Macaca fascicularis: one gene and its partner. The protein of the gene in region 2 interacts with the protein of the main gene of each other region in a pairwise test. Links are inferred from orthologs where the notes say so. Each region holds a gene or a part of one and is shown on either strand. Other genes may lie near its edges.

Region 1 (5,949 bases), on a different chromosome or scaffold from region 2:
CAAGATTCATGTGGCACCTGCAAATCCAAGCCCGAGGCCTGGCCGGCTTGATGCGACTCCTGGAGAAAGGGCTTGGGGGGCCCGAGCTTCTCGATCCTCTTGGAGGAATGGGGGTAGTCTTTCTTTTGATGCTGCTGTGGCCCTAGCCCGGGACCGCCAAAGGACTGAGGCTCAGGGAGTTCGGCGAACCCAGACCTGTACTGAGGGTGGGGATTACTGCCTCATCCCCAGAAACTCCCCTTGTAGCATGATCTCTGCCCATTCTCCTCGGCCCCTTAGCTGCCTGGAGATCCCACCTGAAGGCACGGAAGGGTCTGGATCCCGGAGTCGTCTTAGTCTGCCCCCCAGAGAACCCCAGGTTCCTGACACCCTGTTGTCCCCTCAGCGCCGATCGTATGCATTTGAAACACAGGCTAACCCTGAGAAAGGTGAGGGACTGTGATTAGGACCACAGCCCTGGGCAAAGGGGACCAGTAAGTTGTCTTGAATCTCCAGGGTTCCTGACTAGCTGTCTCTTCTGCAGTCTAGGCAGCTGTAGTGCCCAACTCTATAGGCTTTGGCCCTCCAGCTTCTCTGACTGTGGGAGGCACTGCCTTGTCTCAGACAGAAAGCACTTATCTCTTAGGAGATTCCCAAGAAAGTCAACAAGATCTTGTTCCCAGGGAGTGGGTTACTGGCCAAAGGGAACATAAGGTAGGCAGAAAAGTTAAAAGAGTTTCTTAAAGTGAAGACTGGAGAAGTTCCTCCCTTCCTCTGAGCTATGAATCTCTCTTCATGAAAGCCAAAGGTAGAGACGGGGGACAGGGCCAGGTTAGGGCCTTCCATACACAAACACTTCTAGAGTTGCCCATTCCTGTTCTGCTCTTGGACCCTTAGATACCTCCTGTCCTTTTTAGATCCAGATTAAGAGAAACGTTCAGGAAGCTCTTTGAAACCCTCAGTATTTGTTGGAGGGACTGGACTCCTCTCCAGCTCCCCACCCTCTGCCTCCAGTCACCATGTGCAAGAGAGATCCTGTACAGATGTCTCTGGGCTCTCGTTTTTCCTTTAGAATAACTTCTTCCTATTTCAGGAAAGGGAAATGGTGTCACTCAGGCCCTGGGACTGCTTCTCCAGCCAGGTTGGGGCCATAGGTCCCACTCTAGTGAAGGTCAATGTCTCAGAATAAAAGCTGTATTTTTACACGTAGTGTGGAGTCTCATTACTCTTATTAAAGTCTTTGGTGATAGCTATTATATCTTCATATATTTGGCAAAACATTCTTTTTCTTCTTGTTGTTTGGGTGCTCTTCCTCAGTTGTTGTCATGGAGACTAGTGGCTAGAAACTAGAGCTAGGTTCATGGTGGTCACGAAATAAGGAAGAGAAACTTATATTTACATAATGCTCATTATGTGCCAGGAACTGGACTAAGTATCCTGTGCTCATAAAATCTGTGTCCTTGATTTTATTTAATCCACATAAGTCTGGAAGGTTGGTGCTAGTATCTCCAGTTTATAGATGAGGAAACTAAGGCTCAATTAAGTCAAAATGTTTGCCAAAGGTCTCAGAGGTAAGAAGTGGCAGAGATGGGTTTGAAACCTGGATCTGCCTCGTCCCCAAGTTTGAATTCTTCCCATTATACCACACTACTCCAAATCCATTCAGGGTAGGTCTTGATTGAGAAGAACAGGAATCAAGATTCCTGTCACAGAAAGTGTGAGCCTTTAGAAAACTAGAAGCTTTGGGGTCTTCGGGTTAGTGACTGCCGACGCGAATAACAAGGAACATACCCAGTTCTATGCATGCCCTGATAGGTCGTAATCTCTAGCAGGTAGGTAATCTTTCAAAAAGACGCCCTGAGCCAAGATGGCCTCCCAAATAGCCCTTGTTAAAGATGGCGCCTCCGTCAGACGTCCCTCCCTTCATCTCAGCTGGATTCTCTCTTTTTTCCTGGAATGAAAAAATGCCCTGCCAGCACTAAGATGTCAGTACAAGTTAGTGGTCTCTTTCCCGTTCTTGTCTAAAGTGGCCAGGGCTTCAGCTACATACTCCAGGACACGGCTTCTTCCCGACTTCACAGAAAACCCACAAACATCAGCTCTCATCAAGATGGAGTGAGCGGAAGTGGGGCGGCTCTGAGTTTGAGTTTGTGGGCGGGCCGAGAGCGACACTTCCGCCCCTCACCAACATGGCTGCGGGTTGCAAGTGCGCATGAGCAGCTGTCTATGGAGCTACCTAGGTCGGGAGAGGGAGAACACAGTTGGAGAAAATCGGCGGCTGAGACGGCCTTGGCCGGTGAGTGTAGGACCGGGCAGAAGTCTGGAAACTGGGTGGACTGGCAAGGCAGGGCAGGTTTGATTTTGTTTCCTTTTTTCTGGTTAGAGAACACTGCTGGGGAGGAAGCCTTTGTTTTGGGCGGGGGGGGGGGGGTGTTGTGCTGGTTCTTTATCTTCTACCCTGCTTTGTGGGCCAAACTCCCTGCCCCCGAGCGCGAGCGTCCCAGCCCTCCTGCGCTGTCCAGCTGCGGGCCGCAGCCGCCGGCACCGGGCGCCTGAGCCCCCTAGTCCCCGATGTCCTTTCCTGCCTCCTCCGCGGAGCAGCTGGGGCGCGGGGCTAGACTGCGGGGCTGCGGGTCACGGCGCAGGCTCCCGGGCTCGCGCCTGGCGGGCGCTCAGCTCCTTAAGCGCCTTCTGGTTGGAGAGCCTGCAGGGAGACGCCTCATTCTCAGGCAAGGTCTAGGCGCCTGACTTCTTTCGGGAGTAGATTTTTTTCCCTTTGTGTCCAGACTTAGCAAGGGCTCTTACTGGGCCCTTCTGGCCTGAGCGTGCCCACCACAACGTCCCATTCCAGTTTCCGTGTCACAGATCCCTAATGCCTAGGAAATGCTTCCGGATGTCCAACTAAGATTTGAATAAGTACCCTGACCCCGTTGCTGGGTGTCCTCAGAGACTGCCCCGGCTGACAGCTGTGGCCAATAGAGATGCCTCCTGTGCCGGGCCCTCTATTTCATTGCCTTCCCCTGCAGTCAGCGCGGCAAGCTTCGCAGGGCATTTCCTCTTCAGGTTTGAAGATGGAAATGTAGGTGGTCCCAAAACACTAGTGTTACTTCCCCTTATCGACTGGGATCTCCTTGCAGCGTTACTTCCTCTGGACGGTTTCACTTTCAGTTCCTTTTTCAACATTTTCCTCGGACGCGGTCTTTCCAAGGCTTATCCACTGAAAATTTTCCCTGGATAGGAAAGGTTTGGAGGACCTTATGGGTAGAGAATTTCTAAAAATCTTGCCCCTTTTGTGTTGGGATTATCTTATTGCTTTGTACTGTGTAGCTGTTTCTTTCTGGAGGCATGTCTGCCCAGCTCTTTGTTTTTCCTGCCCTCTGGCTGGGTGTCAGGGTCCTAAGGCAGAGCTTGTAGGTGGATTCTTCCCCCTTTGTCTCTTCTTCAGAACCCTGTTTTTTTTTTTTTTTTACCCCTTCTTGCCGAGGCTCAGTTGATTTGGAGTTGTCATAGCAACATTTTAGCAACTGTGTTGTTCTACAGGAAGGCTTGATGAATAAAATAGAGGGTGCTTGAAGAGGATCCACTTGGGCTTTAGGGTTTCTAACAGATTATATAAATCGGAATACCCCAAAACAAGAATCCTGTCAGTAGAATGGGGCCCAAAGGCCAAGTCTAGTCTTTGTGGTCAGGGACATTCTTCCAGTGGTAGTGGGCTTGAGATTTCCTCTTCCTAGGTTTGAGAACAGAAATGTCTTGGTGGACAATATGTGGCTGAGAAACTGGAAGAAGTATCAGTGTCCATGACACGGTATTTTTTGATGGTGGGGCCAATACATGGCCCTTCCTGATTCCCATGAGGCTGCCATCATGGCAGGTCATAATAGCTTTAATAGTGATCCATTTAGAAATGTGTTGTTGGCTGGGTGCGGTGGCTCATGCCTGTAATCCCAGCACTTTGGGAGGCTGAGGCAGGCGGATCACCTGAGGTCAGGAGTTCCAGACCAACCTGGCCAACATGGTGAAACCCCATCTCTACTGAAAAATACAAAAATTAGCCGGGCATGGTGGTGGGCGCGTATAATCCCAGTTATTCAGGAGGCTGAGGCAGGAGAATTGCTTGAACCCAGGAGACGGAGGTTGTAAGCTGAGATTGTGCCACTGCACTCCAGCCTGGGCAACAGAGCACGACTGTCTCAAAAAAAAAAAAAAAAAAAAAGAGAAATGTGTTGTTTCAGCCAGGTGCGGTGGCTCACACCTGTAATCCCAGCACTTTGGGAGGCCGAGGTGGATAGATCACGAGGTCAGGAGTTCGAGACCAGCCGGGCCAACATGGTTTAGTAGAAACCCCGTCTCTACTAAAAATACAAATATTAGCCAGGCGTGGTGGTATGCACCTGTAATCCCAGCTACTTGAGAGGCTGAGGCAGGAGAATCACTTGAACTCGGGAGACAGAGGTTGCAGTGAGCTGAGATCGCGCCACTACACTCCAGCCTGGGTGACAGAGCGAGACTCTGTCTCGAAAAAAAGCGTTGTTTCTGTCTTCCAGTATAATTATCCCCTCTCTACCAGGAGTTGGAGTGATAATGGAGGGACAAGGAACACTATTTGTAGAGTTGCTTTTTCAATCACTGTAGGCCAGTCCTCAACATCAGTATGGTGGAGGCTGATTGTCCCCTGCAGATGACTGGGTTATTTTCCTGGCTGTGTGTTCATGGAACCTAAGTTCTAGAACCGGAGATACTGTTCTGTTTCCTAGACTCACTGCAAACTTCATGATTTCTACCAGGACTTAGCACTCAGGCCTGTGAATAGGAGATACAAAGACTTCCAAAAAAGGACCAGTTCCTCGGATGTGCCCCCTCACAGAGAGATGAAGGGGTGAGTGAAGAAGGGGTAGGGTCTGGGATGAAAGATGGGTGGCCTGGAAGAATGCAAAATGGCCAAGAGCACTGCCTCTGGAGTCAGGCAGACCTGGATTCAGGTTCTACTCTATCACTTACTGTGTGATTTGGTTTCTTCATCTATAAAATGGAAGTAGTGCTATCTATCTCATGGTGTTGTTTTTAATATTAAATAAGAGTACATGTGATGTACTTAGCTTAGTGCTTATGTACATAGTAAACAGCAAACACTAGTTGTTATTCTAACCTAACTCAGCTTCTGTTGGGAATGCCAATGAGTTTGCAGCCATATGTTACTGGGCCGGTAAGCTTCTCATTGACTTCTTCCCATACTCTTCCTTTTGTCCTTTCACCACAAACAGGCAGCAGAAAACAGCTGAAACGGAAGAGGGGACAGTGCAGATTCAGGAAGGTGAGTGCTAGAGACGGAACCAAGACTAAGAACCCATCATGGCCTCCCTTCCTCCCCCACCAGACCATCTCCTGTGCATCCTCCTCCTTCAGTGACATGCACGTGGAACGGGGATAGAAAGGCAGTTAACTCACAGACTTTTCTTTTGTTCTTTTAATTCAGGTGCAGTGGCTACTGGGGAAGACCCAACCAGTGTGGCTATTGCCAGCATCCAGTCAGCTGCCACCTTCCCTGACCCCAACGTCAAGTACGTCTTCCGAACTGAGAATGGGGGCCAGGTAAGGGAGGGGGCCAGGTGGCTGCAGGTGTTATTTGGGATTGGGATTGAGGGAGGTAATTGAACATGTCTTGGGGAGACCTGGCTTGGAGGATGAGTTGAAAGAGTGGACTGTTTCAGGGGAGGGGGGTGCTGATACTGGAGTAGAGACTGGTGTGAGGTTAGGTGTATGCTGAAACCTCTGTGTGGGGAGAGAAGGGAGAATGGCTCAATCCGTGTCTCTGAAGGACTTTGTTTTGGGGCCCTATCCAAGGGAAGCTTTATGAGGGGCCCTAAGATTCCCAACACTTAATCTTTTATTCTCTCTTTCCCTTGCTCTGCCTTCCTCTACACTTCTAGGTGATGTACAGGGTGATCCAGGTGTCTGAGGGGCAGCTGG
Region 2 (6,058 bases):
AACCCCCAACCTCAGGTGATCCACCCACCTTGGCCTCCCAAAGTGCTGGGATTACAGGCTTGAGCCACCACACCCAGCCTAGTATCTTCATTTTCAGACAGGAGAACAGTTGTCCACAGACACAGAGCCAGTGAGTAGGAAACAGTATTTGAGCCCAGCAGCTGGTCTTTTACCCACTCCTGCACCTGTTTGCACGAAGAGGATAATTACAGCTCCCATCTCACGGGGAGGCTGTGAGAATCAAGTGAGAGAATGTGTGCGACAGTCTGGTAAGTGGCAGGTGCCCAGTGCAGAGGGGCTGAGGCAGGAAAGAGTCACTGCTGTGGGTTCAGGCCATCCCAATGCTTTTTTTTTTGCTTTTTTTTTTTTTTTTTTTTGAGACGGAGTCTTGCTCTGTCTGTCACCCAGGCTGGAGTGCAGTGGCCGGATCTCAGCTCACTGCAAGCTCCGCCCCCCGGGTTCACGCCATTCTCCTGCCTCAGCCTCCTGAGTAGCTGGGACTATAGGCGCCCGCCACCTCGCCCGGCTAGTTTTTTGTATTTTTTTAGTAGAGACGGGGTTTCACCGTGTTAGCCAGGATGGTCTCGATCTCCTGACCTCGTGATCCACCCGTCTCCGCCTCCCAAAGTGCTGGGATTACAGGCGTGAGCCACCGCGCCCGGCCTTTTTTTTTTTCTTGAGACAGGCACTCACTCTGTTGCCCAGGCTGGAGTGCAGTGACCTGCGGGCTCAAGCAATCCTCCCACTTCAGCCTCCTAAGTAGCTAGGACTACCGATGTGCACCACCACATTTGGCTTTTTTTTTTTTTTTGAGACAGAGTCTTGCTTTGTTGCCCAGGTTGGAATGCAGTGGCTTGATCTTGGCTCACTGCAACCTCCACCTCCCTGGTTCAAGCAATTCTCCTGCCTCAGCCTCCCAAGTAGCTGGGACTACAGTCGCCCACAACTGTGCCTGGCTAATTTTTGTATTTTTAGTAGAGATGGGGTTTCACTGTTGGCCAGGCTGGTCTCAAACTCCTGACCTCAGGTGATCCACCCGCCTTGGCCTCCCACAGTGCTGGGATTACAAGAATGAGCCACCGCGCACAGCCTGGCTAATTTTTTTAAAAAAAATTTTTGTAGAGACAGGGTCTCACTAGGTTGCCCCAGGGTGGTCTCAAATTCCTGAGCTGAAGCAGTCCACCCACCTCAGCCTCCCAAAGTGTTGAGATGACAGGCTTTAGCCACCTGGCATGGCAGGCTGTCCCAATCCTTTTTTTTTTTTTTTTTTTTTTTTTTTTTTTTTTTTTTGAGACGGAGTCTTGCTCTGTAGCCCGGGCTGGAGTGCAGTGGCCGGATCTCAGCTCACTGCAAGCTCCGCCTCCCGGGTTCACGCCATTCTCCTGCCTCAGCCTCCCCAGTAGCTGGGACTACAGGCGCCCGCCACCTCGCTCGGCTAGTTTTTTGTATTTTTAGTAGAGACGGGGTTTCACCGTGTTAGCCAGGATGGTCTCGATCTCCTGACCTCGTGATCCACCTGTCTCGGCCTCCCAAAGTGCTGGGATTACAGGCTTGAGCCACCGCGCCCGGCCCCAATCCTAATCTTAGCTCTCAGCTACTTACTGCCTGTGCGACCATGGGCAAGTTATTTAACCTCCATGTGCCTCAGTTTCCTCATTTTTAATATTGTTACAGGTGAAGATTACAGGATTTCATTGATGTTAAGAAGTACCATTTAATACCTCTGAAATCAGTTTAATTGGCAATTTAAAAAATTTTAGTGGACCAGGCATGGTGACTCACACCAGCATTTTGGGAGGCTGTGTCTAGGATCACTTGAGCTCAGGAGTTCGAGGTCACACTGGGCAACACAGTGAGACTTCATTTCTACAAAAATATTTAAAACAGTAGCTGGGTGTGGTGGTGCGTGCCTGTGGCCAGGTCGCTTCCCAGCTAGGATCTCAGTAGGATTGCTTGAGCCCAGGAGGTTGAGGCTACAGTGAGCTGAGTTTGTGCAACTGCACTACAGCCTGGGCAACAGAGGGAGACCCTGTCTCAAAAAAGGAGAGGAGAGGAGAGGGGAGGGGAGGGGAGGGGAGGGGAGGGGAGGGGAGGGGAGGGGAGGAAGAAAGAAAAAGAGAGAAAGAAAGAGGGAGGGAGGGAAGGAAAGGAGGGAAGGAAAGGAAGGAAGGAAGGAAGGAAGGAAGGAAAGAAAATTAGTGGCATAAAGTTATGGTGGGTTTTTTTCAATCGATGAGGTCTTCGACTCTGTGAAATACGGTAAATGATGTGGCAAGCGCCCAGCACGACGTCCCTGTTCCCATTCTATCAACCAGCTATCTGAGGAGTGGGCTGGGATGGAGCTCAGTGTTCTGGGAGAAGTGGGTTCGAGCTCTGCCGCTGGGCCCTGGGTGTGGGCGCCCAATCATCCGGGAAGCGCCCCACAAGCCCAGGCAAGTCCCGACAGCAGTAGCCTGAGCCCAAGCGCTGCGGGCCCGGCGGCCCAGTGACCCCAGTTCCGGGTCCAAGGCACCGCCGGCGGCATCTCCCACTCCCGAGGTTGTCCGGGCCCGGGCCGCTCCGGGCCAGGAAGGGAGGGGCGCCCCGGGTGACTCAGCCGCCGTGACTTGGCCGCCGTGACTCGGCGGAACGGACGCCCCTCCTTCCCTCCCCTGCCGACACGTGCTCGCAGCCCCTCGACAGGAAACGGGCACCTGCAGCCTCCCGGGTGCCCCCAGCGGGCAGCGGGCGCCGTTAGGGGCCGGGAGCGGGGTCGCGAGAGTCGCCCGCAGCCTGACCCCGCGCACGTCCCGGAACCTCGAGGTCTCTATTCGCCGCATTCGGCAAAGGTCCACTGCCCGGACCCCCCGGGGCTCCCCAGGCGGAGAAACGATAGGGACTTGGCGACGGAGGGGCGAAGGACAAACAGACGGACGGACACGCGGACGGTCGCAGACCGGGCCGGGACTCCCACCCCGGCCCAGCTGCTCTCCCGACGGATCCTGCCTCCCTCCCGTGTTGGGACATCTCACCCCGGCCCAGACTCCAGATCCCAGGAATTCAGCCCAAGGCGAAGAGACCCTCCGAGCCGTCGGGGCGGCCAACCCAGGCGCCCACGCTCCTTCTGAAGCAGGGTGGACGCAGAAGTCAGAGGTGGGCAGGAGGAGAGAAAGCGGGCAAGGAGACAGAGGGACAGATGCGGACTGCAAGGGAGAAGGGGGCGGCTGGGAGAAGGGGAGTTCGCGGGTCTCTGCCGCCCGCTGTGCAGTGGGGGCAACTGGCCCCGGACGCCGAGGGGCAGGATCCTCGCCCTGGCCCCCAGCCCGGCCCAGACTCCGCTTCCCGGCTCCAGTCCCGGAGTGTGCGGCAGTTGACCCGGCCTCCCACGCGCCGTCCTCCCGGGGGACCCCCGGCGTCGGGCCCCTCTCACCTGCTGGGCTGCCTGCGCTGTGGCCGGGTGCTGCGCGGGGCCGCCATACCCGCCGCCGTTCCCGGAGCTCGGGCCTGGTTCCCCGAAGTCTCGGAACATGCCCGGGGCTGGCGGCTTCGCGGGGTCCACGGCTGCTGGGTTCTGACTCACCCGCGCCGTGCGGAGTCTTTTCTTTTTATGAATGAAAAGTTCTCGGGCTGAACCACTGCGACCGCGGGGGGTGGGGGCGTTGCAGCGACGCGGTCACCTCCAGGCTCCACCCGCGAGACGCGCAGCCTTGGCCCGTCGGTCCCGAACTTGGCGACGCCTCCCCCAGTCCGGCGGCAGCCTTTTCACTGGGATGGGCCCGGCTCGGCGTTCCCCGGTGGCTGCGGGCCCGCCCCCCTGACGTAGCTGCCCATACATGGTGCAACTTCCTCGCCGCGCCCAGGTGGAGCCCCGGGTTCCCCCGCGGACTGACGCACCTGCCCGAGCCCGCGCACAGCCCCAGCCCTCTCGCGGCCTGGGCTAGTCTCCGTTTCTGCTCCCACAAAATAGCGTGAAAGAATCACATCTGTAGGAGCCACGCCAACCGCGACCCAAAGCTTCGTGGAGTGAGATCTTTCCGCTGGCCTTGTTTTAAGGCTTCGAGTATATGAAAAGTGAATAAATGACAAACCAGGGTTACAAAAATGGTGGCATAATTTTATTTTATTTTACTTTATATTTTTGAGACAGGGTCTCTGTCACCCATGCTGGAATGCAGTGGCTGATCTCGGCGCACTGCAGGCTCAACTTCCTGAACTCAAGGGATTCTTCTGCCTCAGCGCTCCCTCCAAGTAAGTGGGACTACAGGCTTGCGTCACCACGCCCGGGGAATTTTTGTGTTTTTTGTAGAGATTGGGTCTTGCCGTGTTGCCCAGGCTGGGTGGTATATTTTAAATGTTTACGATAAGGTAATGCTTTGAACTAACCACACATACAATGCAATATAATTGTATTACTCAGGATAATTTCAGGAACCATAACGAATTTTAATTCAGGGCCACTACAGGTGTCCTGAGGTCTGGTAAACGCCATCTTCTTTACTGTCAGTGCCTTTCGGCCACCAGTCTTGTTTGGAGAGTATGTCAAAGGCGAGTGAATGTGAGGCCATGGCCAAACGTGCTTGGGAGGCAGGTATCATCCTCATCCCTGTTTTACAGATGGGGAAACTGAGGCTGGGAGATGTTGAAATGAATTGCTTAAGGTTGCTAAGTGAGTAGCTGGCACAGGTTGCCAAGTCACAGCCATGGGCGCTCCAAGCCCAGGCTCAGCCAAGATTTTTCACAGCCCTTACACTTTTACAGACACCTTGTTGCACATCCAGAATGTCAGTGCTAGGTACCATCCCAAAGCTTCTTCTCTGATTACTTCCATCTATAGGTGAGGAAACTGAGGCCCAGATGGAGAACTGAGCTGCCAGCTGTCACACGACTACAGAAAGAGGGCTGGGGCCAGGTGTGGTGGCTCATGCCTGTAATCCTAGCACTTTGGGAGGCCAAGGCAGAAAGAACCATTTGAGACCCCATCTCTACAAAAAATTAAAAAATTTTTCCGGACATGGTGGTACTCCTGCCTTGTGGTCCCGCTATTCTGGAGGCTGAGGAGGGAGGATGGCTTGAGCCAGGGAGGTCGAGGCTGCGGTGAGCTGTGACTGTGCCACTGCACTCCAGCCTGGGGGACAGAGCAAGACTCAAAGTAAATAGATCAAGAGGGCTGGGCTCTCCTGCTTCTCCATCGGTCCTTCCATTTCATCAGCTCTAGCTTTTCCCTCTGGGCTACTTTCCTTGGGAACACAGGCCAGCAGTCTGTGGGTGCACTCGGTACTTAGAGCCAGGAAGGCCAGTTTGACCCTGGGGTTCTAGTCCCAGAGCTACCATTTTCTGTCTGTATGACACTGGGCAGGTCACCTTCCCTCAATTGGGCCTCGCTGCTGATCTCACGGAGCTGTTGTGGGATCAAATGAGATCACAGATGTGAAAGTGCTTTGTAAGCTGTAAAGTGTTGTGCACTCAGAAAGTCATTACCAACCTGGTGCCTCTCCTTTGCCTTTGAACGACCCAATGTTTGTCATCCTCTGGTCATCATGATCTGTGTGTGTGTGTGTGTGTGTGTGAGAGAGAGAGAGAGAGACAGAGACAGAGACAGAAAGACAGAGACAGAGAGAGAAAGAGAGAGACAGAGAGAGAAAGACAGAGACAGAGAGAGAAAGAGAGAGACAGACAGAAAGGAGAGGAGAGTGTTTCTGAGGCAGTGTGATCCATGGACAGAACACTCGTGCTGGGGTCAGACAGCTCTGGGGTCTGGGTTTGAATGTGGTTAGGCTGCTCACCAATTGTGTGACCTAGATGAGGCACACAATCTCTCAGAGCCTCTTTCTTTATCTGTGAAATGGAGACATAATGATAACTATCTCAAGGGTTGTTGGAGGACACAAATAATGTCACATGCTTAGCACAGCACATAGTAAGAATTTGACACATAGGCTGGCTGTTGTGGCTCACGCCTGTAATCCCAGCACTTTGGGAGGCCGAGGCGGGTGGATCATGAGGTCAGGATTTAGAGACCAACCTGGCCAATATGGTGAAACCCTGTCTCTACTAAAAATACAAAAATTAGCTGGGCATC

Evidence for each region.
Region 1: the proteins of FOSL1 (region 2) and USF1 interact in binary tests that used the Homo sapiens proteins (3 or more experiments, as listed by UniProt). The link is inferred for Macaca fascicularis from reciprocal best matches to the Homo sapiens genes FOSL1 and USF1.

What each region holds. Positions count from the first base shown.
Region 1 is NC_088375.1:100,028,639-100,034,587, forward strand, and holds the start of USF1 (upstream stimulatory factor 1), read left to right. Parts: upstream 1-2,155; 5' UTR 2,156-2,191; coding exon 2,192-2,332; intron 2,333-3,149; exon of another isoform or gene 3,150-3,222; intron 3,223-4,736; coding exon of another isoform or gene 4,737-4,766; coding exon 4,767-4,858; intron 4,859-5,243; coding exon 5,244-5,293; intron 5,294-5,455; coding exon 5,456-5,571; intron 5,572-5,909; coding exon 5,910-5,949. Other genes in the region: ARHGAP30 (rho GTPase-activating protein 30), read left to right, coding at 1-442.
Region 2 is NC_088388.1:8,498,023-8,504,080, reverse strand, and holds the start of FOSL1 (fos-related antigen 1), read right to left. Parts: upstream 3,558-6,058; 5' UTR 3,509-3,557; coding exon 3,410-3,508; intron 3,133-3,409; exon of another isoform or gene 2,618-3,132; intron 1-2,617.